Linked DNA regions of Rhinolophus ferrumequinum. The protein of the gene in region 1 purifies or fractionates together with the protein of each later gene. This does not show direct contact. Links are inferred from orthologs where the notes say so. Each region holds a gene or a part of one and is shown in the gene's direction. Other genes may lie near its edges. The genes, in order: STK25, PROSER2, CTTNBP2 and SLMAP.

Region 1 (6,952 bases):
AAATCTTTAGGAAAAAAAAAAGTTTTCGGGTGGACAGGTGGCTCAGTTGGTCAGAGCGCGACCTCTGGGCAACAGGGCTGCTGGTTCGATTCCCACACGGGCCAGTGAGCTGCGCCCTCAGCAACTAGAATGAAGTCAATGAGCTGCCGCTGAGCTCCCGGATGGCTCAGTTGGTTGGAGCGCGGGCTCTCAACCACAAGGTTGCCGGTTCGATTCCCATCCAATGAATGGTGGGCTGTGCCCCCTGCAACTAACAATGGCGACTAGACCTAGAGCTGAGCTGCACCCTCCACAACTAAGATTGAAAGGACAACAACTTGACTTGGATGGAGCTGATGAGTCCTGGGAAAAACACACTACTGTTCCCCAATGAACAGTCCTGGAAATACACACTCTTCCCCAATAAAGTCCTGTTCGCCTTACCAAAAAAATCTTTGAAAACAATTTTTTTTTCTTTTAGAAAACCATACAGTGAAATTGTCTTTTTTAGTGTACAGTTCTCTGAGTTTTAATGCAGGTATAGATTTGTGTCATCCCTTCCACAGTCAGGGTACAGAGCAGTTCCCTCACCCCCAGAAACCCCCTACTGCTCTCCTCTGTGGGAGCAGGCTGCTCCCCCCACCCCTGGGAACTACTGGCAACTTCTCCCTTGTGGCTGTTGTTTCTTCCACAATGCCTCCTATACGGAATCACATGCTATGTGATCCTTTGAGACTGGCTCCTTCTGTCACACGTCTCTCAGTAGTCGATTCCATGTCTGGATGGATCGCGGCTCATCCACTCACTGCGGAAGGTACCTCTGGGCTGTTTCTAGCTTGGGGTCCGGCTGACTAGACATGCTGTAGACATTTATGCATAGGCTTTTGTACGAAGATATGTTTTCTTTACTTGGTGTAAATACCCAGGAGTGGGCATGCTGGCTCACGTGTTAGGTATATAGTTGACTTTTTAAGTAATCGCCAAGCTGTTGTTTAGAACGGCTGCACAGTTACACCGTATGAAAGTTCTGGGCTCTGCCTCCTCACCCTGAGTGACCAACCATCTGCTTTGCCCAGGATGGGAAGAGGGGCTTCCTGGGACATGGGACTTTTGGTGTTCAAAGTGGGAAACTCCTGGACAAACTAGGATGGTTGGTCACCCTAACCTCGCCAACACTTGCTAGTGTCAGTATTTTTAGTTTAGCCACTCTAATATGTGTGCAGTTAGAGTCTCGTCATGGTTCGATTTGCATTTCCCGGATAGTTAACGACATTGAGCATCTGTTCATTGCTGACGGCCACCCATCTATCCTCTTTGGTGTGCCAAGTCTATTCTCAAGTTTTCTTATTGGGTTCTTTTTAAACAAATGTTTTTATTAAAATATAACTGACATACAATATTGTTTTAGTTTCAGGTGTACATCATAGTTATTCAACAGTACCCACCTGGCACATACATAGTGATTACCATATTATTGATTATATGCTAAATAAGTGATCACCATCAGTCCAGCAACCATCTGACACTGTACCACGCAATTTTACTGTACTATACTATGTATATACTGTAATATACTGTACAATATTACTGACTATATTTCCTATGCTGTATATTATATCCCCATGACTTATTTGTTTTATATCTGGAAATTTGAACATCTTACTCTTCTTTATGTTTCCCCCCTTTTTAAATTTTTCGGAGTTGACATTCAGTATTATTTTATATTAGTTTCAGGTGTACAGCATAGTGGTTAGACATTTATATAATTTACGACGTGATCCCCCTGACTAGTCTAGTACCCACCTGGCACTATACATAGTTATTACCATATGATTCACTATATTCCCTATGCTGTACTTTACATCCCCAGGACTATTTTGTAACTACCAATTTGTACTTCTTAATCCCTTCCTCTTTTTCACCCACCCCCATTGGGTTCTTTTCTAACTGATGAGTTTTGAGAGCTCTTTATATATTCTCTTTCTCTCTCTCAATATATATATTATGTGATATATATATATAATACATATATATATAATACATATATAAATATATATATATTTTTCCTCTCTCCCTGTCTGTAGCATCTTTTCTTTTTTTTTTTTTTTTTTAAGGAGGGCGCAGCTCACAGTGGCCCAGCAGGGACCAAACCCGCAACCTTGGTGTGATTAGCACCGCGCTCTAATCAACTGAACTAACCAGCCACCCCTATCATTTTCTTAATAGTGTCTTTCTGGAAGCAAAATGTAAAAATTTTGATGAAGCTCAATTTATCTTTGCTTTTATTTGTGGTAAAATACACACAATATAAAATTTACCATTTTTAAGTGTACAATTCAGTGGCATTAAGAAAATTCACAAGTGGTGTAAACGTCACCACTATTTATTTCCAGGACTTTTTTTTTTTAATCACCCCAAACAAATTCTGTACCCACTAAGTAATATATCCCCATTCCCCTCTCTCCCAGCCCCTGGAAATCTCTGTTCTACTTTGTCTCTTGAATTGGCCTATTCTTGATACCTCATATAAATAGAATCATACAACATTTGTCTCGTGACAGGAGAAACTCAGCTACAGGAGAGTTCTTATGCTTATTTCCCTTAGCTGTTTTCTAGGTTCTTCTGTTTTAGCATGTGTCAGAACTTAATTCCTTTTTTATTTCATTTTATTTATAATTGTGGGAAAACACACATCATATAAAAGTGAGTGTGTGAAGCATGCTTAAGTGCACAGTTCCGTTGTTAAGCTCAGTTTACATTGTTCTGCAACCATTACCTCTGTCTCCAGAACTCTTTGTCTTCCCAAACTGACACTGCGTCCCTACTAAACACTCACTCCCCTCCGCTCCCCAGCCTTGGCACCACCATCGACTTCCGTCTCTGAATCTGACTCCTCTAGGGACTTGTGGGGACAGAGCCCCAGAAAGCAGTTTCCAGGCTCTCGGCCTCACATGGAAAGGTGCTGGCTCAGGTAGTAAATGGCCATCAACTGTGATTGGCTGGCCATCAGCTGTGGCTAGTTGGCCGCCAGCTGTAACCAGTGACCCATTGGCCACTAATATAACCGCCGTGGCTACGCTAGCAGAAAATGGGGGCTAGCAAGAAGATGGTGGCTGGCAAGCGCGGACTGCAGTTAGCACGGCAGAGTGCGGGTTGCAGATTGCAGAGAAGTGGACGGCAGGTTGTAGATAGTGTGGCTCCTGCTTCCTGTCTCCAACCCAGCCGCCAGCGAGAATATAGTGGTATGACTCCCCTCTCTATGGCTCCGTGGGTGTTCCTTTTTGGCCTCACCATGTCCTGCGTTCTTATGTGGGGAGCGGGAGCTGAGACCCCGCAGGCCGCCCCGCATGACAGGACTTCACACAAGGGGGATCACACAGTGTTTGTACTTCTGTGTCTGGCTTATTTCACTGCTCACATGCCCTCAGGCCTATGCATGTGGCATCAGGTGTCAGAAAGTCCTTTTTCAGTCTGAATAATATTGCACTGTGTGTATGCACCACATGTGTTGGTCCTTTCCTCCCCTCAGGACCCTGTGGGTGCTGCCAGATAAGCAGCAGCAGAAGGGCGGACGCCCTCCAAGGTGGAGGGGAGAGTTTTCTAGGGGAGGGGGGGGGCGGAGGGAGACGAATAGGAGGAAGCGGAGTGGATAGCGCACTGGGAGGGCGGGGAGGATGGAGAGTGGAGCCGGGGAAGATGGGGCGGAGGAAGAGGAAGGCAAAAAGGAGACAAGATAGAGCCCAGCGGGCCCCAACCCCAAAGCGGGGCGCCGGCGTGGCCCCGCCTCCCGGACCCGGTCCCGCCCCGCGGCCTGCCGGGAGACGTAGTCCAGAGCCTCTCAGGAAGCGGGACTCGGAGTCCCAGCGAGCCCCGCGGCGCGCCTGCGGGCCGCGACTCCGCCCCGCCCCTGGCCTGCCGGGACTTGTAGTCCAACGCGGGCGGACGCCCAGGCACTGGACGAGCGGCCGGACTCGGTGTCCCTGAGAGCCCTGCGCTGGGCCACGACGCCGCGCACCGCCCTCTCCGTCGCCGCCGCCGGCCTTTCTCCGGCCGTCGCCGCCGCCGCCGCTGCTGCTGCTTCGCGGGCTGGAGGGTCCGGGTGTCCCCCCGGGCGAGCGGAGGCTGCGGGTGGGAGCCTGCGCGGGCACTGCGGAGCGGGCCGGGGGAGGCCGGGATGGAGTACCCCGGAGGTGGGCGCGCTGCTGGGCGAGCCCGCGCCTGGGGCGGTTGGGGAGGGGGCCGAGCGGTGGGGGTGCCGAGAGGTGGCGAGCGGGGTGAGGGGAAGGTGCGGGGCTGAGGGCAGAGAGGGCCCCGGCGCGGGGTGGGCACCGGGAGCGTTGGCTGGCGCGGGGCAGCGGGTCTGAGCGCCGGTGCCGGGCGGGGGCCAGGTGGGCGGGGCTTCGGGGGGCGCTCAGGGCGGCGGTCCCTTCGGGGGTCGCGGGCCCCGGGCGGGCGGGCGGGCGGGCGGGGAAGGGCTGCCGTGGGGGTTTCCGGGGCCTTCCTGACGCCAGCCCGCCGCCCCCTTCGGAGCCTGTTCCCGATGGTCGGACGAGGGGCCGCCTCGCGCCCCCTGAACCGGCTGAGCGAGCGGCCTGCTGTCCCTCCAGTTGGCTGAAGCGAGCGAGCCGGGTGCCAGGGCCTCGAGGCGGAATCCAGGGGCCTCCGCGGTGGCGGCGGATGTTCTGAGCGCGGCGCGGACATGGCTCACCTCAGGGGGTTCGCCAGCCAGGTGAGGGTTGTTTCGGGGTGACAGCGGGCAGTGTGTCCGCTCGCCGGGCCGCCGGGAGCAGAGCGGTGCCTGCAGGCGCGGGAGGGGTGTGGGTGGGAACCCGTGCCGCACACCTGTGGGCAAGAGGGGGCGCGGTCCCGAGGCGCCCGGCGTGCTGGGGCTCAGGGCCGACGGGGGGGCTGCTGCAGCGTTGTGGGGTGCAGAAGCGCGCAGGCATGTCAGAGCAGCGCAGTGGGAGGCCGTGGAGGCTGTGCAGAGGCCCGGTCGGGACGGCGGCGTGGCTGGGGCGGGACCCCGGGTCTGTCCGCACGTCCGTCTGCTGGGATCGCGCAGGTCGGGCGCACGCGGGCCGGGGCGGGGCCTCCGGGGGACCCCTCGCTGGTGGGCGGTTAGGGGGGCTGGGAGGGTGAGCGGGCCGCTCTCCTGTAGGAGTGGGGGACGCGCGTGAGTGTGTCCATGGAGGGAGGTGCAGTACTTACCTGGTGGTACCGCCCTCCTTCGGTCGGTTGCTCCCTAGAATCCCCGGTATTCAGACACCTTGAGGTGTCTGACTCCACTGGCTGACTCTGGGGGACCCTCTGCAGTGTGCCCCGAGTTTGCTGGCACCTGGAAAGGAGGGTGTGTGTAGGGGGCAGTTGGGAGGCTTGTGGTCTGGACCTCCCCTCTTTTTTGTTAAAGGAAGTGTGATTGGAGCTGATGTGGCTGCCTGGTGGCCAGGTTTTCCTGTGTCCTCGTTGTTAGTTGTTCCCTTGACGCGATTTAGGCCAACTGCTGTAAGGCGAGGGGTGGCCTCTTACAGAGAGGAGTCCCACCGCTGGCTCCCGTGCACACAGTCGGGAGCTCAGCCCGCAGGAGGAGCAGGAAGCTGGGTCGTATGGTGCGCAGGGAGGAGGCGCCCGGAAGCCACACGCAGCTGTTGGGCAGGGCTGTTGGGCAGGGCGTCCTGGACCAGCAGTGGCCACAGATGGGACCGGGGTTTGCTGACGGACACTGAATGATGCTAACAGACTTTGCGTGTATGCTTGACATTTTGTGTCTGGTACACGCCAAGGTGCTGGGAGAAAAGTCCGCCTGGAGCTTGTTTTCTAAGAGCTGTAGGAGTGGCCTCCATGGGTCCCAGAGAGGAATTGGAGCAGGGAGCCGCCTGTACCGCTGTGCTGATGGTGCTTGATGCTTGGCCTGGGTGCCCACTCAGACCCGGGGAGGGGGCGTGGGTGCTGAGGAGCTGGGAAAGGGACCCCAAAGGAAGGACGCTCCCTTGTCCTTTCAGGGGCGGACAGACTCAGCCTTTGTCGCAGCAGGAGGCCTGATAGGACTGCATTTTCTCTCCAGACGGCTGTCACTGTGGCCTCGTGGGTGGTCCCTGTGTGGAGCAGCGGGCGAGCTCCCCCACAGCCTGTGCTCCTGCTCTGATGTCACCCCCGCCTACGGGCCGAATGGCTGGGGGTGTGAAAGCACCATGTGCTTACCAGCTGTCACCTGTCGTGTGCTGGTTGGGGACAGCTTGGCTCTTGTTTTGTGGGGTGAAACTAATGGCAGACATTCTGCCAGGTGGTAGCCCCAAATCTGGCAGTGCCAGGGCTGACTTGAGAACAAGGGCCTTGACCACCAGAGCCAGTTGAGCCACTTGAGTGTTGTCCAGACCACGTGCCTGGTCTAGAAGGGCTCCCGGGCCCCCAGACCTGAGAGCTGCGTGTCGTTCCTTCAGCCGGTGATACGCCTGTAGGGTCAGTGTTAGCCAGAAGTGTTCCTGTCACACCCTGTCTACTCACTTGACTGATCCGCAGCGGTGCTGAGACCTGAGGCTCGGGGCCCTGTCTTCTGTGGAGCCTGGACTCTGGCTTAGGGGGTGCACTGTGTTCTGCTCAAGGCAGTGGAGGTCTGAGCGGGCCGGCTGGGGTTCCTTTGGCGGCTGTGGGGGGCCAGATCGGCTCTGGCCAAGGCCGGGCGGGGCCGGCGAGGTCCCCACGTGGAAGCCAGTGGAGCAGGTTTTCTCTCTGGCAGGAAAGCCTTTTTGTGCTGCTCGCTCAGTGGTCAGCGGTATGGTAGGTCACACCTGAAGACCTGAGCAGCTGTGATTTGAAGCCTGCTTTCCCTTGACCTTGGTTTTGGGGTCTTCCTGGCAGTAGGCTGGCTGCAAGCTTCGCGGTTGTTTCTCTTCCACGTGTACTGGGCTGCCGGTTCCAGTGGGGCTGGCCACATCCCTTAACAGGCTGAGCCGCGGTGCAAGGGGACACCTCACCA
Region 2 (7,657 bases), on another chromosome or scaffold:
TAATATTGAATGTCAGCTATAACTTTATATATATATATATATATATATATATATATATATATATATATATATATATATATAGTCACGGATATGGAGTACAGCATAGGGATAGAGTCAGTGGAACTGTAACAGCTATACACGATGTCAGAGGGGTAGTAGATTGGGGGAGGAGGTTATCACTTTGTGAGAGGTGTAAATGTCTATTACATTGTTTTGTACACCTGAAACTAATAATAATAATTAAAAGAAAAAAGAATGAATGGATGCCATGCATCCTCTTTTTCTGTTTGGACCTCAGTCACTTGGCAGGTCCTAAAGCTTGCAGGAGCAGCACTTGTTCACCAAGGACCTTTTGGAGTCTTCTTTTTCAGAACTCTTATCGTTAAATTTTAGGAATAACTTATTTATGTTTTCTTCCATAATTGTTTATTCCACATGTTTCTCCTTCAAATACTGACGTGGAATATGGACACGGTAACACATCATCTACTTGCTTTCAGGAAGTATGGAACATTTCATTATTATCGTTTTATAGTTTTTCTCTAAACTCGTCCCCAAAAAACCTCCAGGTCATAATTTCCTCATCTGTAGAAGTAGAATAATTATTTCCTTTTTTTAAAATCAAGAAATTTCACTAATAAATCATCCTTGATGTGTATCATTCTCCTCTTCCTTCCATCATCTATCAAATATCTATTGAATGTTGAATATAAACCAGATTCTATGCTATGTACATTGGTATTTACTGTCTCATATAAAAAAATATTTATTAGTCTGCATTGATTTAGAAAAGTAACATAGAGTCACAACGGAAATTTGGAACATATACAATACTATAAATAAGAATCACATAATCAGAGCCAGAAACAGTAACTGTCATCCTTTTGATATATTTCCTTCTAGTTTGTCCATATATACATGCATTTTTAATAGCTGAAATTATAATTTACACACAATTTTGCAATTTTTTCCCCTCTTACCAATAATTTAGGTATTTGCTTGTGTTCATGAAAAATTCCTCGGTTTTAATAGCTGCATAAGAATTAATTTAAACTTCCCCTAATTTTGGATGTTTTGGCTGTTTCAAATTTTCTGACATTATAGAAAAGGAGACAGTGCATATCTTTATGTACAAATCTTTGTGCTCATTTCTGATTATTTCTATAGAATCCCTAGATGGAATTATAAGGATCAAAATATATAAACATTTTTAAGGCTCTTAAAATATTTCATAAAGTTGCTTTCCAATAGCTATATCAACTTATGTTCCCACTAATAATATATAAAATTGCCCATTTCACTGCATTTCTGCCAGTATTGAATATTACAATTTAAGAAAACATTTTCTAATTTAATAGGTGCAAATATTGTATTTTATTTTAAATTTTCATTTTTAAAATTATTTGGTAGTCCAAACACACACACACACACACACACACACACACACACACACACAGAGCTAACTACTAACCATTTTTATTTTCTTTTTGAGGAAATTTTTCCATTGAGTTATTAGTTTTCTTATCAATTTGTGTGTACTCTTGTATTGAGGATAAAATTAACTGTCAGATTTGTTATGCATAGTTTTGTGGGTTTTTTTTTTTCCTTTTCAAATTTTGTTCATATTATTTCTAGTTATCAGAATTTCAAATTTTTTTATGTAATCTAGTCTAACGGTCATTTCCTGTATGATTTTCCCATTTCGTTTCTTCCCCCATCTTAAGGTCACATATTTGCCTAAATTTTCTCCCAGTTATAAAATTCTTTAATACAGCTGAAATTTCCTTTAGCACATAATGAAAGGTAAGGCCTCAACTTGATTTTTTTCAAATTACTAGTTTACTAGTAAACTAGTTTACTAGTAAATTACTAGTTTTCTCAAGCCCATTTACTGAGAATCCATCCCTTTTTCATTTATTTTAGATGACTCTTTTACCACATATTAAAGTCTACACTGTATCAACATTATCTTTTTCTGGGTTATCTATTCCATTCTATTATCTACATCATTCAATATCTATTATTCTTCTATTCTCCTTTAAATTATTATAGCCTCACTTCAATAATAAACAGAGCAATTTACCAGATTTTTCTTCACTTTCATAATTTTATTAACTCTCCTCATCTGCTCTTTGTTCAGGTAAATGTTAAAATAACTCTGTTTTAGCCTCACAGGGTAGGTGTTAACAGCCTTGTTTTACAAATGAGGAACGGAGTCTCAAAAAGGATAAATAGCTCATGTTTATACATCTCCACCATGGAAGAGGCATAAAGCAAAATCAAGTCTTAACACTTTCCCTTGCAGCTTTAAAATGCTATCATTTTTTTGTAAAGAAAACTCATGAAATTTACTAACCATTCTTTCTCCTTTCCTGTCTGCCTCTCTCTAGTGGCCATGACAGATATTGCACTTTCTCAAATCACTTAAAACAGTACTGTAATAAATTGTATAAAATAAAAACATGTTTAGTTTAACTTTTAGTTTACTCTAAAATTTTAATCTTACACAAAGCTCATAAGAACAATTATCTAATTTGGGGGGTCATGCATTACCAGCATTTTCTTTTAGCAACAAGCAGCCCTCAGAAGACATTTATTTAAAAGTTGAGTGACTATAAAGTAAAATTTTATAAATTTCATGGGTTTTAAAGAAGTAACAATAGCATATACAAAGACCCTCCAGATGTTTCTTTGCTCCTTTTTCCCCTTGACATTCTCTAAGTACTTTCATGAATAACGATCTTTCAATTCCCCCCCTAAGTCCCACTTCATGTCCTTTCTTACCTCACTTCATGTCCTTATGCTCTTTTAGTCCCTTTGTGTATGTTCGATTAGCACAAAGGTGCCTAGACAGGGGTGCAGAGGGGACTGGAAGCCAACCTGTGCTCAGGTGGTCACGCTGGGCCCTAACTGGGTCTGTATCCGTCCAGAGGAAGAGCCACCTGTTTGTAATTCCCACAAAGAGCTGAGATGTGCTCGCGGGGGACGGGTCTCATCTCCTCTGCTGCCTCGTCGTCGTTGAAACCCCCAGTCTCTTCCCTGTTTCTTTCCCGCCCCCCTTGTTTGCCTTTTTCTTTTCCCCTTCTTCCTTTCTAATCTGATCATCCTTCAGTTTCTTATTTCTTCTTCAACTGTAAGAAAAGACACTGTGTAAAATTAAATTTTTACACAAAAGATAATGTGTAAATTAAAAATTTTAAGTAAACTAAAGAAATGAAGTTAAAATATGTTTATACGTCTGAAAGGTTAACAAAGCAAAAGGTACAATAAAAAGAAAAAATTCTGGGAATTTTTTGTCAAAATGTCTTTTTCTTTATCTGCATTCCTTTAGAAACAGGGGTTGCCTATATTACCTCTCACCTGCGGGTGTTTAATATTATTTAACCTTTACTAAGCCAATTAATGATAAATGCATTCGTATTTAACACAATATGGAACAAAATTTAGAGGGGAAAAAAAGAACGTAAACAAAAAGCTTAGGCCCTTTATTCATCAAGGATTAAGGACTGACAGAATTGATTCTCTCCTGGATTTGGTTCAGAAAGAGGGGGATAATCACACTTGCCTAATTAACTAGCACATTGGGTAGATTAAAGTGCTTTGCAAACATTAATTAAAGATGCAGGGAGTTAGACGAGGCCAATGTGTTATTAGAGAAAAAGTTTTCTCCCCTTTAATCAGGTATCTCTTCCTGGGGACGGCAAAGAAATGATCTCAGGACTGAGGAATTGGGGCTCAGCCCTGAGTGCTGCCAGTGAGTCAGCCATTCTGCACAACCAACCACTTCCTTCCCGAGTTTTCTGTAGAAGGGGGATAAGCCCGAACAGCAGTTTGGAACATAGGTGGTTATACTGTCTGCCATTTGGGTATATAGCAAACCCTACAATTAATAAAAGCCGTAACTCTTGCTTTCTCCCTTCCCAGAGTTGTTCCTTCCCACGGAAACACTAGTAACCTTAACTTCCACCACCTTACAAAGCGTTCCACACCAGCTATTACCTCAGTCGATTTTCCCAGTGATAGAGGCAAGGAGAAAAGAGCACCAAGCAATGGGGTGAAAACGCTGGACCGAGTTTCTTGGCCTCTTTGATCCTGTTTTCCTCAGATTCCTCCTCTGTAAGATGGGAGCAAGAAATCAGGGGAGAGTTGTGAGGATTAAATGAAATAATATGTGTATGTTAAATGCCTTGTCCAAAGGTAATAAGAATTCTATATATAGTAGTTATTATTGCCAGTAAATATAAAATAACCTCTCAAAGCTGACGGGGCGGGGGAGGGGGAATGTTGGGAGAGGATGTCCCGTTTCTTCAGAGCTTCAAACGCAAATCCCTATTACTTTTCTCCGCGTGTGTAACCCAAGAGATGGCGGGTGGGGTTTCACTCAGATGGTCCCCAATTCAAACATCACAAGGAGACCGAGGAGCCCTGCGAGAGGCAACCACGGGCAGCTCCCGCGCGGGGGCCTGTCTCTTTAAATGCGCCGGGCGCGCGCTTTGTGCGTTTCGGGGGCCGAGCCCTGGATGGTGGGCGCGCAGCAGGGAGGTGCAGCGCGCATGAGCGAGCGCGCGGTAGAGGAGCGCGCGGCGTGCCGGAGGGGCGCGCGGCTGTCGGGGAGCGCGCATAAGAGCGCGCACGGCAGGGGAGCGCGCGGCGGGAATGTGAACGCGCGGTGGGCCGGCCCGGGACTGTTGGCCAGGAGCGCTCCGGCTGATCGGCTGTCCCACGGCGCGAGGGCTCCGGGCGGCGGTCCGGGGGGCACCTGCAGTCCCTGGGAAGGGGGCTCCTGCCAGGTGAGTGCGGACTTTTCGATCGAGGGCAGGGTTAGAAGGGCGGGGTAAGTCCTGGCAGCCGGTCCCCTCGCCTGGCACGTCGGTGAGCTGGGCGGTGTTTGCAGTCTGATGAGGGAGGCAAAGTCGGGTGGGTTTCAGGTAGAGAAAGGTGTTCCCATTTTTTTGTGAGCTGCGCTTCCCACGCTTTTCTGCGGTGCCCTCCTTGCGTGGGTCTCTTTGCGAGCTCTCCCTCTCCTCCACATCGCTTGTCCCCGTCTCCTGGAAGTTAGGAAAGACTGGCGCAGTCTGAAGGACCGTGGTCACCCCGGTGACCTCACTCACGGGAAACCCGCTCCCTCCTGTGGGATTTCAGGGGTTCGCGTGCGCCGCGGTCGCGGGCAGTAGGGAGGACGCGGCGTCTTCCCGCTCCGAGGTTGTCCTGTTGGGGTGGGGGGGCGCACGGTGGTCCGTGGCACATGCTTCGCTTTGTGCGCAGAGCAGTCCCGGGTGTCCCCAACAGCCCTCCCGTTTCCGTCCCGGAGATGGGCGAGGGAGTCGTCGCCCCACTTGCCACAGCGGCCCTCGAACTCTCCGGGGCTGTCTGTCCCTTACGCGGCGGGAAGGAGGTAGTCAGAGCCACCTGTTCAACTGGTGCTGTGCACAGTGACCAGTAGATTTTCATCCCCACCTCGGCTCCCTAACCCCCGACCCCCGGCGGGTAACTGAATCAAGCAGACACGTGTAGGATCTGCTAGTGAGCCGGGGCGGGAGGGATTTTCAAAAGAGAAGAAAATGGGGCGATGTGATGCAATTTAACAAAAGGCAATAAAATAAACGCCAGTATTTCTCCAAGGCTTTGAAACTTTCCCAGTATTGTCTTACGGAGTCTAAATTTAAGCGTCTAGCTTTTTTTTTTTTTTTTTTTTTTTTTTTTTTTTTTTTTTTAAACCGCAAGAACTAACCTCAGAAAACTTAACTCTCTGCCAGGACCTAGTTGATGCAGAGCTGAAAACTTAAATTGAGTTAAGGAAAATGATTTTTTTGTGTCTTCTCCCCCACCAAAAAAAAAACCCAGAGTAAAACGTTCAGCTCTGTTGCTGGAGACTGGGGGAAGAAGGCTCCTTCTAGCTCCAATTTTAATGGAGAACAATTTCTTTTTAACCCGTATTTCTGAAAGGTAGAAAAACACTAAACCAGGTGTAAGTGTAAACGTCAGGATAATGCTCGCAGGAGTAACCTTTATTAAAGATACTTTTCTGCTTTATGTTTTTAAAAGCACTACATACTTCACGCTCGCTACAAAGTTTGCCCTCATAGTTCCATGTCTGAATGTTACAGATTGTTTTTCTAGGTGGGGGAGGTATTTTCCTTCATGAGGCCAATGTGGAAATACAAACAAATGCCCTATTTACTTGGGATTGGGTGGGAAAGGTGGAAGTTGTCTAAAATCTCTCTTGCCAAACTTGACAGCGTATGTATGGAATCTTGTGTATTTTCTTGCCCAGACCAGTAATAGCCATCTTCAAATGAGCTTTCCTTTGAAATTTTTGGATGCTGATAATTTAAAAGTAACATATTTTCTCCATTACTAGAGATCAGAAAGCCATAGTTAGAATGCTAATGTAGAAAAGGCTGGAAAGAGGAGAGATGCTTTTCAGAAAATCTGAGTATGTCTGACTCTGTGGTGGCCCCCTTTGTGGCAGAGGGGATGTGCCTATTTTCGGGCTGGCCCCAGGTGTTCATGAATTCATTCAGTGATATTTGTAGACGGTTGAACACCCACAATGAGCTGAGCACTGAGCTAGTCACTGCGCATACAAACATACCCAGATAACAGCCATATGGCCCAAACTGATTAAAACCAGATCAAGTAAGCCTTCCTCAGGAGCTGAAGATATACCTGGCCCTGGTTCCAAAGTTCTCAGACACCTAAGGAGCCTATAGTTGTCACCCTGTGTTGATTCTAAAGATCATCTCAAATAACTACAAGAGGTGGAGTGGAGCCTTGAAGCCTGAATCCAGAGAGGTGAAAGGCTTGGGTGGAGCAGAGAACAGGGGATCCTCTGGAACAAAAAGTTCAAGTGCATCTTATCTACATGGTTGTGGGACAGCCGCCAGTGGCATGGAGGCCATTCAGGGGAAGGTGCCAGAGAATCCTAGGAGCATCCTAGAACTTGAGCTCTTCCCTTTGCTGCTGAAGGGCAGCATTTCGTTTCAGTTTCCATTGCCCTTTCTGGTGGCAGTGGTGGCTTCCCCGCTGTGCTCTGCAGCTCTCCCTGTGATATCCTGCGGCATTCTCCTCTTAGACCTTTGACTGAGTCCAGGGGCTTTGTACTGAAAGCCACTGTTCGCTGACACAGTGGGGTCAATATAGTGGGAATACTGGTAACATCTGTAGAGAACCACCGTGAAGCTGCACCTGTCCATAACACCCTTATCCATCTGGTCCAGGAGTCACGGCATTAATCTTGAATCCTATTTTAAGAACGTGGGTCTGGATTTCTAATCCATGCAGCCAGGATTGGTGGTAAAGGAAAGTGTAGGGCAGAACATTCCGCCTTATTGGATCAGGATGTGATAGCTCTATGAATGCGTTATCTTCAGGCAGGATATTTGCAAAGATCCGACCACCGTGAAGACTTGATTCTCTCACTCTTTTTTAAATTGTAAAGTACGTATTAAATTTGTCATTTTAAAGTATACAAATCAGTGGTATTATTAAGTACTTTCACATTGTATGTGTTTGAGAAGAATGGGTTTTCCTTTTTCTTTTCTGTAGAGATATCCATTAAATGCACCTTATTAATTGCATTATTCCTCACTAACTTTGTCTACTTAACATATCAATAACAAATATATTGAAAGACCTCACTAATGGGGGATTTGTC
Region 3 (7,972 bases), on another chromosome or scaffold:
TTTTTCTATAAGGAAAAAATATTACATTGCTAGCATACAACTACTTCAGTGGTTAAATGTTTCTTTAATTGCCAGAATGAAACATTCCATTCCATTAAACCTTAATGTTGATTTGTCAGAATTGTTTTTCTTTATTATTCTACAAGTGACTTTGCCTTCTCTAGAATGAAAGTAACAACACCCAAGCTTCCTTTCCCCTTTCAGTTCTTGAATCAGAAATATAATTAAGCCTTCAAGTCTAGCCATGACATTGTTTTATAAATATGAATTAAATTTTATTTTTTATTTGTCAGTCAATTGAATAACTTCTGATATATGTATATATTATATTATTTCTTTTCAAATAATAACATCACATTTCCAGGTGTTTTTAAGTGAGCCCAACTGATTTGAACCCATCAAAAAATGGCGTGGTGGACAAAAAAACTATTGTCATCAAGTGAGATTTGGGATAGTGTAAGGTGGAATTTTTGTCTCAAAAATTCCAAAGATATTTGAAACTGCATTAACTGGGTGTATGGCTATGATTATGACGGTCTGGAAAATGTTGATATACTGGTTTATTTCACAGTTTTACATGGAAAAGGTATACATTTATGGCTTTTCTCCTGCTTTTTGTATCATAAGTAAATCATCACTGAGACCATCATAAATGACATCCTCATATTTATTAAAATTGAAGGGCATCATCTTTAGTTTCCTTATTAATTCTTCAAACACTACGTTTCCTTTTGTACCAAACAATACATACCCATAGATAAAAGAAAATCTCAGCTTTGGTTTTATAGCTACCTCTACACTCTTAACCAGAGGAGAAAAGGGTCTGATGTCACAACCTATTTCTATAGTTTTAAAACTTTCTAAGAAAAATAAAGCTTGCTATAATTAATGCCTAATGGTATAAACACCCCTACATTAGTGGTTGCCTAGTAACTACATAGGCTTGTGGGGTTGCTAAATATGTTGAATACACGAAACCATTCAGGTCCATTTCCAATTCAGGTGGATGAGGGGCAGCAGAGGGCCAGATTCCTTTGTTAAAATTGGTTTTCCATGAGGGTTTTGAACTAAACCATCCTTCTGCACTAAAACTTACTTTCGTAAATGACTTCTGCAGATAAGAGTCCAAATCGACAAGCAATGGTTTAGGATTTTCAAAACATTTAATAGAACAGAACCAACTCTGCTTTATTGCTATGTATTAGCCCAGTTTTTCTTCTTAGAGTGACTGGTCTGGAGAATAATGTCATTACTGTACCTTTAACTTGTCAATAACATCTTATATTTGGACACCACTTTAGCATTGAATGACCACATGCAGTTGCCAACTAGAGGTGGAGTCAAAAGGGGCTGGAAGTGATTATAATGACATATATAAGTTTAGCTTTGGCTTGCTTCCTACCTAGCAGACTTAATTTTCTAATTATGTTTTGCTTTAGCTTAGGTAAAATTAGCTTGCATTCCCTTGGCACAGACCAGCTGCAGTGGAGAAGGCCTTCCAAAACCATAAATTGTTGACAAGAGTGGCTAACTAAACTAGGATTCAGTTTACTGAGTAAAATGTACGAAGAGCCTAAGTACACGTAGATAATGACAAGCTGACTATGAGGGAATGTAGTTAGGTCATATGAAGACTCATTTCTGGCAATGTCTTAGTTTCAAAAAAAAATAGAAACAGGGCCCTGAAGCTCATTTGCGCTCTGTTAGAGTTCCTGACGTCGAGCTTTGGGGCTAGCTAAGTTGGCAGCTGCGGTGTAGACAGGGATAAGCGTGGTCTGCAATATTTATATTGTATAACTACAGCCTTGTGGATACAGTCTCGAAAGGATTTGCTACTCAGTAATTTTGTCATTTGGCAATACTAAGACATGATAAGGCATGGTTTGCTCTTTGGAGTTTACATAATGTCATTTAACTGAAATAAAGAATTCTCTTATAATCTGAGGGAAACTGTTCTAGGATATCCTTTGTCTTTTCACAAGGGAGGAAGCATCCCTTGCTTCATTATATGTAACTCTCTGGGTTTTTGGTTTAGTGGGTTGGAAGATGTGGCTGGTGTGGCCAAGCCCATGGTTTAATCAGAAAACCACTTGGCTCCTCCACCACAATCTGCATTCCTAGCTGCAGCGACCCATTTCATTGGTCTTCAAAGAGAATCTTGAACAGTGTGCGCGGTAGCTGAGCACAAACACTTCCATGCCCCAGGTCAGGAAATAATTTGTCTTAATTCATTTGTCAGGTCATTCACTTCATTATGTTAAAGAGAAGACAATGTCACTAATAGTTTTCTCTGCTTGCAATGGATTCAGCATCTCTTCTTTCATTTTAATGCTGAAAGCAACTTACTGATTAAAAATCATTTTTCATTTTTGTTATAGGGATTTCTTTTCTTCCTGCTTATACTTTCAACTTTCTTCTTTTCCCCTGCCTTTCAGAAATTTTCACTCTAGCCCTGGGATGTCTTTTTCTTTCTTTCTTTCTTTCTTTCTTTCTTTCTTTCTTTCTTTCTTTCTTTCTTTCTTTCTTTCTTTCTTTCTTTCTTTCTCTTTCTTTTTCTGTTTAATGAAGCTTTAAAAGATTTAATTTCTGGAGCCATCAAGTCACTACCCTTTCAGATCTATTTGTTTTGACTCTAATACCTTAGAGCCTGTCTTTGTACAAAGAAAGTCTTTCAGAAAGAGTTAATTTGCAGTCTCAATCTCAAGAGAGGCTAATTCTTAGGAGAGAATTTAAACCAGCAAGTGTCTCCTGGTAGAGAAGCAGCCAGGGGACCAGCCCAGTGGTGAGAGAGTGAACTCCTAGGATGCTACTTCTACTTCTGTGCAGTAGGATGGGACATTCCTTCCACCCTGGGCAGTGGTCAGTGGCAGCTTTAAGGTAGAGACAAAATGCTGTTTATTTTCCTTCCTACATCCTGGATTTTAGCAGTTAAAAAAAATGTACTGTCCTGTGAGTTTTTTCCCCTGGTTTTCATTTTGCCAAAAAAAAAGGAAGTGAGAGGGAAGAAACTGCTCAGGGATTGATTAATTGATTCCTTTTCCTTTGTGACATGCTTCTGCTTTAATTGTATTTAGACTAATAGAAGCTATTTCTTCCCAATGATGTTTTTTTAATTGAGCAGCATGTATAAAGTAATTGGCATTTGCTTCCCAGAAATATTGTCATGTCATAGTCTTAATTCTTATCCCCCAAGTGAAGTTTATTATTTTATTCTTCCCGCACCCCCCAACCAGAAGTGAATGAATTTCTTGGGTAGCAATTCAACCACAACATCAAGTATCAGTATCAAGAAAATTCATTGCCTTGTGATGTGTGAAAGCACATTTTGAAAAGAACAAGGAATGCTTTTGGCTCCAACTTTAAATATTTTACTATCAGTCCAGCATCTAAGTTTTACTGTCAAATGCTTTTCTTTCATCTTATAAGGAATCTAGTTATTATCATATCGAGCAATTTCAGAAAGAATGTTGATAAAAGAAAGTGGTATAATGAACAGGGAGAAAAAGCGTAGGGCTAAGAGGAGGAGGGAGTAGCTATCACAGTAAGGTCCAAGAAAATAAATCAGTGAGCACCTTGCTTATAGAATTCCCAGGAGGTACTTTCTAAACCTGTGACCCTTAACCCCAGGGTTCCAGGTGAAAGTTCTTTCTTGATGTAGACCCATTGTGGAAGGGAACACTTTACAACTTATTGATGAGCCCTTTCAGAGCCTTTGCAGAAAATATTTTTTCTGCGCTCGTTTGTGTCATATTTAGATCCAATTTGGAAAGTGAAGCAATTAAAGTGTCAAAACCTTTCATTAGGAGTCTGCAATTTAAAAAAACAAAAGCGCTTTTCACCTGTGACCCTTGGACTGAACATCCTAGTCATTCATCTTACAGAATTTCGAGTCCAGGATTTGGTTGCTGTTTGATTTTATTTCTTTGAGACACAGTTTGAATGCTTCCATTTGATTTTGTGCTTTCAACACATTTTTGGGATCTGGTGATTTGGGAAGGCCTGTACCATATGGTCCTGATAAGGTGATAGATTTTCATATCCTGGAAATTGGCAGGAAAGGGTAAGATCTGAATCAGATGTGAGAAGGGAAAATTAAGAATTTGGGCCTAACTTACTCATCTCACAAAATATCTTCTAAGACTTGTACTTCCCATAAAATCAATTTTAAAGAAAAATTTTTTTTTGGGGGGGGGCCGGAGGGGGCTGTGTGTGCATGTCCTCACCACATGGGGGTAATTCTTTCCATTTCTCTTAAAAGTAGAGAGCCTCTTTCTACAAGTAATGGCACTTAACATTTCTTGGTTAGCCCTTAAGAAAATATCTCAGACTCGAAGGGTTAAAGAGGGACCCTGCTTCACCTTTCTTGAAAAAGATTGTGCAGAAAGATATGGGCCCAGGGAGCAGACACAACGTAAAAAGGGTAGCAGGACACATTTTCACTTGGGAGTTGATGGTTTGGGGAGAAACATGAGAGGCAACGACACAATAAAACAAAACAAAACACCAAGAAGGTGAAGACGCCCTGGCTGCAGTCTTGCAACAAACAAACAAACTTAAGCAAAAAGAACAGGGTGCCTCCCGTGATTCCTAGCGGTGGGCTAGACGGGACTGAAGTGAAGGATTTTCTTTATCCTACAGAGTTCAGATTCAGGAGGCCTGACATTTCATCCGCTCGGCGTGTGCACCGCTGGCTTGCTGGGGAAGGGGCCGGGCGAATCACGTTTTGGGCTCTTTCTTCCCTTCACCGCAACGGGGGGCTGTGATTCCCCATCTGCGCGCGGGGCCAGAGCCGGGCCTGGGCGTCCGCCCGTTTCTCGTACCTGCAGCGATCAGCCGGGGGACTGCCGGGCGCCGGGCGGGGGCGCCCCAGCGCGCAGCGGGTTAAGGCGGCGGGAGCGGCGCCGAGGGGCGGAGGGGGCGGAGGGAGCGCGTCCGCGTCCCCGGCCCGCAGCGGGTTACGCGCCGCCCGCGCGGCGAGGGCTGAACCCGGCGCCGCCGCTCCGAGCTCGCATTCGGATCCGCTAGAGCAGGAAGATGGCGACGGACGGCGCGAGCTGCGAGCCCGACTTCTCCCGCGCCCCCGAGGACGCGGCGGGGGCTTCGGCGGAGGCGGCGGTAACCGAGGTCCAGGGATGGGCGCGGGGACAGAGGAGACGCGGGCCGGGGTCACGTCCGGCGTCCCGGGGCGCTCCACCAGTCCGGGCGGCCCCCTCCCCGGGTGCCCCCTCCTCAGGGTGCCTTCATCGCCAGAGGCCAGTCCCTGTGGGGTGGGGTGGCCCCCCGGGCTGGGGATCGCTCCTGTCCTTTCCGAGCCCCCTGGGCTGCTGCCCGGCGGGAAGCGGCCGGGTCTGCCGGGTGCTCAGGGCTCCCTGCGTGCGCCCGGTGCGACCCCCAGGCCCACTCCTCCCTCGCTGCAGTCGGCTTTGGCCAGGGGCGAAAGCTGGGGTGTGTTTCCTGGCGAACTTGAACCCCCATTGTTCGCCTCTCGCGCGCGTGGTTGTGGGCGCGTGTCTCCGGGGTGCCTGGTACCTCTCAGCGGACCCAGGAGAGCAGCGAGGGGAAGGCGGGTCATCGCCGAGCAGGTGTGGGGATGCCCATTGTGTGTGTGTCCGTGTGCCTGAGGCCCCCCGGGCCAGGCGCCGTGCCCCGCTGTGGGCAGTGCTGCGCTGAGCGCCGGGTCTTTGGGTTCTAGCTGGCGGCGCTGCCCCATCACTTGGTGTGTGGGGGAAGAGGCGCGGGGGAAGGTGCCCTCGTTCTTCCTAAGTAGGTGCCCGGGCGAGGTGGAGGATCAGCACCTGGTAGCAACACATTGTTCTCCTTCGCTGGGGTCTAGAAATCGTATGAGCTTCCACCATCGCTGGTCCCCACTTTCACCCCCAGAATATCCCCTTGCACAGTCTCAGTGGTGGTTTCCAGCCCCTACCGTGGGGGAGGGCTGGACCCACATTTCCTGGGTAAAAACGTTCTCCGGGTTTGGGAAGCGGCTTTGCAGGAGCTGCGAGGATCTGCAAAGAAAGGCAGCTCTGGGAGCGCCTCCCACCTATGGCGCGATCCCACCCGCCAGATTCCGGGTGGGATGGAGTGAGAGGAGTATGGACGCTGCTCAGTTCTTTCTGTGACCTGAGCAGAATTGGTGCTGGAGCAGCAGAGGGCAGGGCCAGGTGTAAACAGCCAGGGCTGCTTTAACTTCCTCCCTCTCGGTTTGGAGGAAGGGCTTACTGGAGCCGGAGAGGAGAGATGTGGACGAAGCTGCTTGGGCGGGAGAGCAGCCGAGCCTGGGAAAGAAAAGAGAAACGGAGAGAAGGAAAGGAGGAGGAGGAGTGCAGCTGGTTTCCCGCTTGTGAAACTGGCAAGTTTTGATGTGAAACTGGCAAGTTTTGATGTGAAACTTTTAGTAAAATTGATTTTTCATTCTTTACTTGGAAGATGTGAACTTATCTTAAGATTTCCAATGAAACCTGCCTGCCTGTGATGCAGTGAGTCAGTCCCCCTCTGTGAAGCACTGGAAGGCAGCTTGCTATTAATACAGCACGCCTCTCTGGGAAGTTGAAATGACTGGGTGCCTTCATCCCCGAGAGACAGTAACAGGAGGGGAAAGAAGGGTGCGGGGGTGTATGTGTTGTTTCCCAGGAAGGTTGGATTCATTTAATCTACTTAGAACTGGCTTCTTTCTACCACCCGCAGTATTTTAATCACCTGACAATTAAACCAAACCAAAACATCTGATTTATGGTCTGTAGCTGATCTATAGTTTTATTTGGTTAGATTGTAAACAGAATCTTGGACGCCAGGCAGATTTGTGTGTTAACAAGCCCAGTGTTCCCTTTCTGCTGCTGAAATTTTCCAGGAGTCCAATTTTCAGACTGCGTGTAGGTGGGGATTTGATCATTTCACCCTGGTTAGTGGGAATAGTCCTGGGGAATCTGTGAAAGCGAACTCGTTTGTTATTTCCATAGAATTCTTTAGGGTTCCGAGGAGATGCAATGAGGATTCTTAATTTAATATATATATATTTTTTTAATTTTTAAATAACTTTTGACATTTTAGTAAAATTTTGATGATGGCCTCTATGCAGTGAACTCAACATTTAATTTTCGTTAAGGTATAGTCCTCCCGTATCAGCCACTTGTCCTATAGACTCATTTTTAAATTGAAGAAAAGCTAGGTTGAGGAATATTTTTCATAACTGCTCCTTATCTAATGATTAAAATTCAAAGGCATTTTTATGCATTTTGGGTTAGTGGCAACTGAGGACTTAAATCCTTTTTGTTTTTAGTGAATTTTTTTTTTCCATTTTAGAGATTTATTTCACTTCAAATTGGTTTACATACTATGGATTTTTATGTGTACATTTGGCAATAATGAGCCAATGGAAATGCCAAAGCAGTAGGCTATTTTTGAAAGTGAGTGTTTTCACTAAGTTTTGACTATTTAGATTGTTGCTTAGAGACAAGTTTAATTTATAGTTATCAGCTTAATCTGATTTTCAGTGGAAGGTTTTAAATTTAGTTTGTGATTCTGTTCTTAGCTGTTTAAATTCTGAAAGCATCCCAAGTGTAAAGCTGGGTAACAGCTACATTATTCGACAGCATCATATTAATAGTTTTTGCTGTGAACCATGCCGAGAGACCTGGGTTATTTTCAGCGCCTTGGCCAAATGTGATGACTTTTATAGGCTATGTTGCTATTTGTAGCCTGAAAATAGCTCCTGGTGGATAAGCAGTATGGAAAACAGAAATCTTTCTGTTTTTTATTTCACCAAAGAATTTAAGAGTTGAAGGAAAATGGAGCTCTTTTTAGAGCTTTGTTTCAGAAGCTGACCAACATTCCTGTCAGTCTGAGCTTTTCTGGAGCAGCTACTGTGCAAAAAGGAGATAAACATTTTGTTGCAGTGATAGTGATAAGAAAAAAACTTCAACAATGATTTTGTTAAGAATGTGCAATAGTAATGTCAAATTAACAGCTAGCACTT
Region 4 (7,437 bases), on another chromosome or scaffold:
TAAGCAGTTATGCAAGTATTCTATAATCCATTATATCTTATGTCATTGGTTAAAGTCTAACTAGATCATTATCATTTAGGGAAGGTTGCATTGTAAGTGAGTTTACAGAGTTGTCTCCTACACATCTGAGATGCTAATAATCGCCTGTCTTTCCTGGTAGCAGGATAACAATGTTGCAATTATCTCTTTGGTTTTCTAAGATTGAAAAGTAGCATGGTTCATAGCAGTGGTGATTGCTATCAGTCTATTCAAAAGGTAAAAATAAAAAAAGGGAGAGAAAGCTACAATATTGGGAAATACTACCATTCCAAATTTCCCAAAACATAATGTTTTTTATTTAATTAAAATATTGAATGGATACAGAATCATAGAGAATCATCAAAATATTGAATGGATACAGAATCATGGCTTCGAATTCTACATATTGCCTGTATGAGATTTCTTAATTTAAGCCTTTTCTGTGCCCACTGAATACCAGTGGGTGAAGAATACCTTTGGTGCCATTTTGGCATTTCCAGCACCCTGCATAGCTTGGTAGGATTCTTTATCCTTCCAGGTTATAGCAATCCCAGCTTTTTTTTGCAGAAAAATAGCCTATCCTCTTTGTTTAACATTAATATTAAGAGATATTGTAATATCACTGAACATGAAGACATGTTTTTTGTTTCCACATTTATGAACAAGTTTTCCATATACAAACTAGGAATAATACAACTTGCTCCTTACTGTATGTGGAAGGCTAGAGGAATTCTGACTATTAGTAATAATAATAAAAACTAACATTCTTTGAATTTCCTAGGCATCATGGTAGATACTTTGTCTTGCATTATCTTATTTAACCCTAATAAGACTCTGGGAGGCATTATCTCCTTTTCTCAAATGAGGAATATGAGGCTTAGAGAAGCTAAATAATTTATCATTTACAATGCTGGTAAATGGTGATGCAATGTCTAATTCTGAAAACTTGATTTTCATTACTCTACTTTGACCTTCTAGGAGAAAGATGAAAATGTTCTGAAGTCCATTGGGTTGCCTCCAAGTCCTTCAGTAATTGAAACCACACTTTTGTGCCCCTCTCCTTAACCCCCAACCCTCATTGCTCCAGTAATACAGACTTACCTGTAATTCCCTTAAAGTCCTGTTATCTTAAGTACCTGGGTCCTTGTTTATGTTTTCTTGGCCTAAATTTTGTTATCACACGACTACCAGACTAGCTGGCCTACTCTTTACTCATTTTTCAAGTCTCAGTTGAAACTATTCTACCATGCTCCCATTAATCTTGATATATTTATTACGGTAAAGGTTTTATTGTGTCATCACCCAAATTGTGAGCAACTCAAGGGAGTCTTTCTTTCTTTCATGGTTGTATTTCCAGGACCTTCAAAATATCTTTTGTCCAATAGGCATTCAATTCAATATTTATAGAATGAATGAATGCATGAATGAAAGAATTTATAAATGACTTACAAGTTGATATACAGAGCTCATTAGGGATTTGTAGAAGGGCCTATATTAATTACTTTATTTCACATAAGCCTAAAAGCTACCCGAAATGAAAGTTTTTCATCCTCTTATATTAAAATTTTTCAACATATTCTTATTTTTCTCTAGAATAAAATATATTGAACACAGTACTAGTTCAATACATATTTGCTGAATTAGAAAAGTATACCAGTTCTTTACAATCTAGTGCATATTCTTCTCTCCAGACTCACTTTGTGGCACTCCTATTTTATCCTATAATAATGAATAACAGTATGTAATTTTATTCATGTATCAAATATTGTTCCTTTTCTGGTATTCTCTATTCCTGGAAATGTATAAAGGAGTTCAGCAAATTTCATATTTATTGTGGTTTTCCAAACTTCCTTCATTCAGTTCAGTTACCTCTCCTAGAAGGCGATCCCTGGTCCTTTTAGCACCCAATGCTTGCCTCTTTTAGTCCTGATTACATCAAAGTGAAATTTTTCTGCATCTGTGTTTGTCATCTCCCTACCCCCATCCCTAACCCACAACACCAGGTGTCCAGGTTTTGTTCACCTATGTGTCCCCAGAGCTCAGCAGAATTTAGGACGGGGCCAAAACAGTATATACAAGTATTGAAATGAATAATAGGTACTCTTTAATGAGCAACACGAATTATCACCTTGAATTCTCGCAGTAACAGGTGCGTTATGTATTATCTCCATGTTATAGATAAGAAAACCAGGTTTGAAAAGGTTTAGAAACGTGCCCAAGGTCACACAGTAGTAAAGTCTGTTGTCAAAGGAATCGGATGGAGCCACCATTGATTCTAAATAAGATTCATTTCCACCATCTTTTCTTGAACTTATCTTTAAGATTTTGCAGTCTTTTCTTCCTGAAACCAATGACTCTTCATCTGCCCTGTTACTATGGGTGGGGGCAATACCCCCTTTTTTCATATTGAAAATTGTTGGACCTTTTTGAGGAAGCAACGTGATTTTAAACTTTCTGAAGTCACACTCTTTCAGGGATAGAATCTGCGTTGGAGCTCTGGAAGACATGATAGGTACAGTGGAAAGACCGGTCATTGGAAATAGAAAGCAGGGACTAAGAAAGAGTTTTCCTCCGGGCAAGCTACACAGCGAAGACTTTCGCAGAATGAGGTTGGCCTCTCTCCTTTCAGACGCACAAATCCTAGGATTTGTGGGAATTTGATTGCTCACTCCTAAGGGAGCTGTGGGAAAACTATTGCCCACAGTTAAAATGGCTGCTAATATCGTCTCCTTTGGATGGCTCTGTTCTCCTTCCTCGTTGTTATTTTCAACGAGGACGGTAGTAAATAAAATGTAATAAAAGTTCGTACCGTATTACTAAGATGATAAAGTAGGAAGTTGGCATGTTTTGTTTATAAACCTGCAACGAGTCAAAGTCCTTCTTGCCCTTAACCAAAATGACCGTAGAGGCTGTCCCATGGTTTGAAGCGTTCGGCCCTTAACTAAGATGGCTTCCGGAGACTAGTTGAAAATTAGCTTGCCCTCTTTCCTGCCCCTGACAAGCATGGCTTCGGCAGCGTCGATCACGTGACATCCCCGGACTACGGCGCGGGAGAGGGAATAGGAGGGCCCTTGAAGGGTGCGCGTTCCCGTGGCTGTGCACCCGGTAGGTTTCAGTCAGAGTCACTATGGCGGCCGGCGCTGGCAAGGTAAGCTGAGGCGGCGGCGGCGGTGAGGGAAGCTAGACTTGTCGTGGCGTCCGGCCTTCAAATCCCCGCAGCCCGTCCGCGGAGAGGTCGGCCGAGGTTGCAGCCAGTCGTGGGGGTTTGGTGGGGGTCGGGTTGAGGAGCGCGAAAGCTGAGGCGGGCGGGCACCGGCGCCTGACGGCCGTTTGTTTTGATGTTTCCCTACCAGGTCGGAAAGTTTCCTGCCTCGTCTGGCATAGCCTGAGCGTGTCCCACCCGCCGAGAGTGGTGGAGGCTGCGGGCGGACTCAGCCCGGGGCCTCCAGGCCTCTCCCCCAACCTCCGGGCCAGCCTCCCTCCCCCACCTCCTCGTCCTCCGGGAGCTGCGGCTGCGGTCCCTGGGATGCGACCCTCGCGGGGGCGACCCTGAAAGGAGGCGGCCGGTGTGTTGAGCAGCAGCCAGGAGTCCAGGCGTCCAGGGACCAACTTCCTGCTAGCGGAGACCCCCGGGGTCGCGCCTCGCTCTGTCCGCACCGGCCTGCGGAGCCGGATCCCCGCCCTGGTCGCGGGGGACGCCCGCCAGGTGCCTGGGAGTCCCCACTTGGCCGCTGCCCGCGCCCCCGCGGGTCCCTGCTCCTTGTGCCAAGGACCCCATTCACCGCCCCCTCGGCTCGTGCCGGCCGGGGTCCCCGTGCCACCTCCCGGCGGCCTTCGCGCGTCAGGGGCAATGCAGACTGTCCCGCTGGCGGTCTAGACCCCTCGCCGCCCTCTCGCCCATCCACTTCCGAGGCCCTTGAGGACGGGCGGTGGCTACCCAGAGGTGCTCGGCTACACCTTCCTTCGCCCCGAAAGGACCTTCCTGGCCGCATCAAACCGACCCTTCCTTCATGCTGCAGTGCTGCAACGTTTCCGCCACCGAGGGGGGAAAAGCGGCCGCGATCCCAAACAAAACACAAGAATTGGTGTGTGACTCATCTGCTTGGATACCTCCAGTCCCCAAACTGTGTTCCAGGAGTTTTCTTGGCTGAAGCTGTCCGATGTTTGAGGCTTTTCTTGCCGAGGAAGAAGATGGACTAAAAGCTGCCAGTTGGGGACTTTTTGTGCGCTGGCTGTTAGAAGAGGTGATGGGGCTTGCGCTGGCTTGTCTTCCTACTCAAGAGAAGAGTTGTTGATGTTCACTGGTTATGCTTAGACAATGCGCAGTTTGTTTTAATTTAAAATTTTGGGGGGGATAGGGGGAGAGGCTTGCGAAGGGCAGTCCGGATCCGGTGGAACTCCTCTTTATCCCTTGAAGGAGAGACACCCCCCGTCTGTCCTCGATGCCGTCAGCCTTGGCCATCTTCACTTGCCGTCCGAACTCTCACCCGTTTCAGGAGCGTCATGTCTACCTGGACGAGCCCATTAAAATCGGCCGCTCAGTGGCCCGCTGTCGACCCGCGCAAAATAATGCTACCTTTGATTGCAAGGTGCTGTCAAGGAACCATGCTCTCGTCTGGTTTGATCACAAGACGGGCAAGGTAATGTCACCACATTGTCTAACAATCATTACTTTTTGTTTCTCTTTGTCCTTTCGTTATAATGTATGCGGGATCCCAGGGTTTGCACCCAGAGGAGACTTTCAGCAAGGCCCCAGAATCAACTTTTTGTATTTCTGGTTCTAGTGGAAATTTAATTGAGGTGGTTGAATGGAAAACAGAGAAGGTATTGTAATTAAATGCCTAGGGAGGGCGATGGCATCTTGATAAGTGGTCATTCCCAGTGAAATCCCAAACCCTAATTCGTTTCAGAAAACTAGATAGTGAAGCTTGGCTTCTTACTTGCAGTCTTTTTAGAAAGGTGAATTTGTAGTTCAGTGCTTGGTTAAGCAAGCAGCAGTTCCCAAAGCAATGCAGGGAATCTGTGGCCATTATTACACTGGGGCTCAAGTGTCTCAGCGGTGGGATGTAGTATACACATAGCTCTTAGTTGAGTTCAGATCAGGGCCTGTCTAGTAAGGACAATAGTTTGTGTAAAGTTAGTTTTTGAAAGATTTGATACATATATGCCCATGAAGGGAGTAATTTGCAATTATCAAAGGCAATTTAGTTAGGCAGGAATAATTATAACTACATTTTTAGAGTTTTGTTTGCAAGTCGAGGGAACATATATCTATTGTTTTTGTAAATCACTTTTTGATGTTCCCGGCAGCACTTATTTAAAAATACTGAATGCATTCTTCCAGAGGTGATATTTCACAAGCAGTGTTAGAAATTAACTTATTTTCTGAAATTATATCCAGTTCTATCAATGGTTGCATTACCTAGATGCCATAGGATGAATTTAGTGCCCTTCACTTTAAATGTGACCATTTTAACTTTTACATGTTGGCACCCTATTTTTCCCATACACGCGGGTGCTTATATTTTAAGAATACAAGGGAAAAAATTACATTAAGACCCTTTCACTTTTTAAAACTCTTTATGTGTGTGAAGAATATACTGATCTCATCTTTGCTTAAACCTTGGGTTTTAGTTGAGCTACTGAATCAATTCCAACGTAGAGTAAGTTATGTAAGATGAATAAGAATATCTCGGATTTCACCTCCTGACTTTTTGCTCCCTCTTTTTGAGTTAAATGATTAAGTCTTTCTTAAAAGAAGAATTTAAGTCTTCAAGAATAGTATTTTGAAATGAAAGAAACCTGAAAGGAAGAAAGTAATACTGTGTTGTTGCTGAATTAAGGAATTATTATATACATTTTTCAAAGAAAGTGGGAAAAGATTGCCCAAGTGCTGTGTGCTTGCATAATACCTATACCCTACTCTGTGTAGCATGAGAACTGAAAAGGATGTTAATTTTTCTATATAACACCAGATGCTCATTTACCTGTGAAACAGACCCTTTCTTTCCTCCCTGGAAGCTAAAGTTTGGGTGCCTGAAAGACCTTATAGATTACCGATAATAACTTAAAGTGAATATTCATAAAACCCATCTTTCCAGCAATCAGATTCAAACATCATTTAACTGCTAGTGCTTTAACCAGCTTTTACATTTTTGTCTCTGTGTCCCTGGGCAACAATTAAGGTCCAACTTAATCAGATAATAGGTTTGCTTAAAGTACATACTCTGCAAATGTACATTCTTTAGTTTGATTAAATACTGAAAGGAGACTCAGATTTTTTTCTTTTACTTATTTGAAAAACAGTGATTACATGAACAGTGCCTTTCATGGCTATACTAAAACCCCCACAATAGGTTATTTTGAGATGACTAAGAATAATAGATTAATAGTGTTGCTGTCATTTTGATGACATGTTAAAATTTTAAATGGAATTTGTTATTAGACAAACTTATATTTAAAGGATACACAACTTCTTCCTGCCATTTTTCCTCCCCTGCTTTATTAGCTAAAACACACTCAGGATGTGAGGCCATTACTTTAGGTGTAGATGTAATTATTGGTTATTGTACCTCCAATCTAGTTAAAACAAATAACCTGTCAGATTTTGCCATGTGCTCAAAGTGTTTTAGGAATTAACTACTTAAAATTTAAATTTGAGCACAGATTTTTACTAAACATCTGTTATGTGCCAGATATCATTAGTTCCAAAGAAAACCTACAATTTGACCAGATGTCATTTATTGTTTTCTCTGTGAAATATCCAGTTTGAAGATTTCTGCTATAATTGTCCCAACAAAAGTCCCCCATCTATTCCCAGTAAAGTTCTTTATACAGCACAAGAATCCCCTCATATAAGCGTCTGCTCGTGCAAGTTATTTTCCCCCCCAAACATCAATAAACCTCAGTTTTCTCTTGGGATAATAAGAGTACCTACTTTTGTTTCGAGGATTGAGATAACCATGTAAGTAATTTAGCACCCTTTTCCTGGCCTTATTAAATAGGGCTCACTACTTAGGGAGGAGAGTGTTTGGGTTTGGGGGAAGAGGCAACTATCTAGGACGCTCTGCCATTTGCTATAATGCTGTGGAGTCTTAGGAAGATAATGCGAATTTTTTTCCTCTAGGTGATGGCATATGTAGAAGTAATTTTTAAATTGAAACATACGAAGTTGAGAACTTTGTCCAAATTGGCACTTTACCTGGGAGATAGAAAGTTGGGGTAATATGCTCTTCGGTTGACTTTCAACTTGTGTCTGTTGCATTCAGCGTTGGCCATTAAGAGAGACCCATTAAAATCTGGAGGAAATAATAAACACTTGAAAGTTTTTGATTATTCAAGTAATACATATTCGTTGTAGAAAATTTGCAAAGTGTGGGCACATGGAAATCCAGGTGACACTTTTTCATGCTAAGTTCA

Evidence for each region.
Region 2: the proteins of STK25 (region 1) and PROSER2 purify together in Homo sapiens (affinity purification with mass spectrometry; 3 studies listed by BioGRID and IntAct, counting the BioPlex papers as one, with this or other methods). This does not show direct contact. The link is inferred for Rhinolophus ferrumequinum from reciprocal best matches to the Homo sapiens genes STK25 and PROSER2.
Region 3: the proteins of STK25 (region 1) and CTTNBP2 purify together in Homo sapiens (affinity purification with mass spectrometry; 3 studies listed by BioGRID and IntAct, with this or other methods). This does not show direct contact. The link is inferred for Rhinolophus ferrumequinum from reciprocal best matches to the Homo sapiens genes STK25 and CTTNBP2.
Region 4: the proteins of STK25 (region 1) and SLMAP purify together in Homo sapiens (affinity purification with mass spectrometry; 5 studies listed by BioGRID and IntAct, with this or other methods). This does not show direct contact. The link is inferred for Rhinolophus ferrumequinum from reciprocal best matches to the Homo sapiens genes STK25 and SLMAP.

What each region holds. Positions count from the first base shown.
Region 1 is NC_046291.1:253,306-260,257, forward strand, and holds the start of STK25 (serine/threonine-protein kinase 25), read left to right. Parts: upstream 1-3,943; 5' UTR 3,944-4,107; exon of another isoform or gene 4,108-4,169; intron 4,170-4,586; 5' UTR 4,587-4,678; coding exon 4,679-4,708; intron 4,709-6,952. UniProt on the Homo sapiens protein: Oxidant stress-activated serine/threonine kinase that may play a role in the response to environmental stress.
Region 2 is NW_022680355.1:16,669,123-16,676,779, forward strand, and holds the start of PROSER2 (proline and serine-rich protein 2), read left to right. Parts: upstream 1-4,637; 5' UTR 4,638-4,790; intron 4,791-7,657.
Region 3 is NC_046309.1:25,219,034-25,227,005, forward strand, and holds the start of CTTNBP2 (cortactin-binding protein 2), read left to right. Parts: upstream 1-4,968; 5' UTR 4,969-5,034; coding exon 5,035-5,124; intron 5,125-7,972. UniProt on the Homo sapiens protein: Regulates the dendritic spine distribution of CTTN/cortactin in hippocampal neurons, and thus controls dendritic spinogenesis and dendritic spine maintenance.
Region 4 is NC_046300.1:52,495,225-52,502,661, forward strand, and holds the start of SLMAP (sarcolemmal membrane-associated protein), read left to right. Parts: upstream 1-4,424; 5' UTR 4,425-4,460; coding exon 4,461-4,658; intron 4,659-7,437. UniProt on the Homo sapiens protein: Associates with the striatin-interacting phosphatase and kinase (STRIPAK) core complex, forming the extended (SIKE1:SLMAP)STRIPAK complex.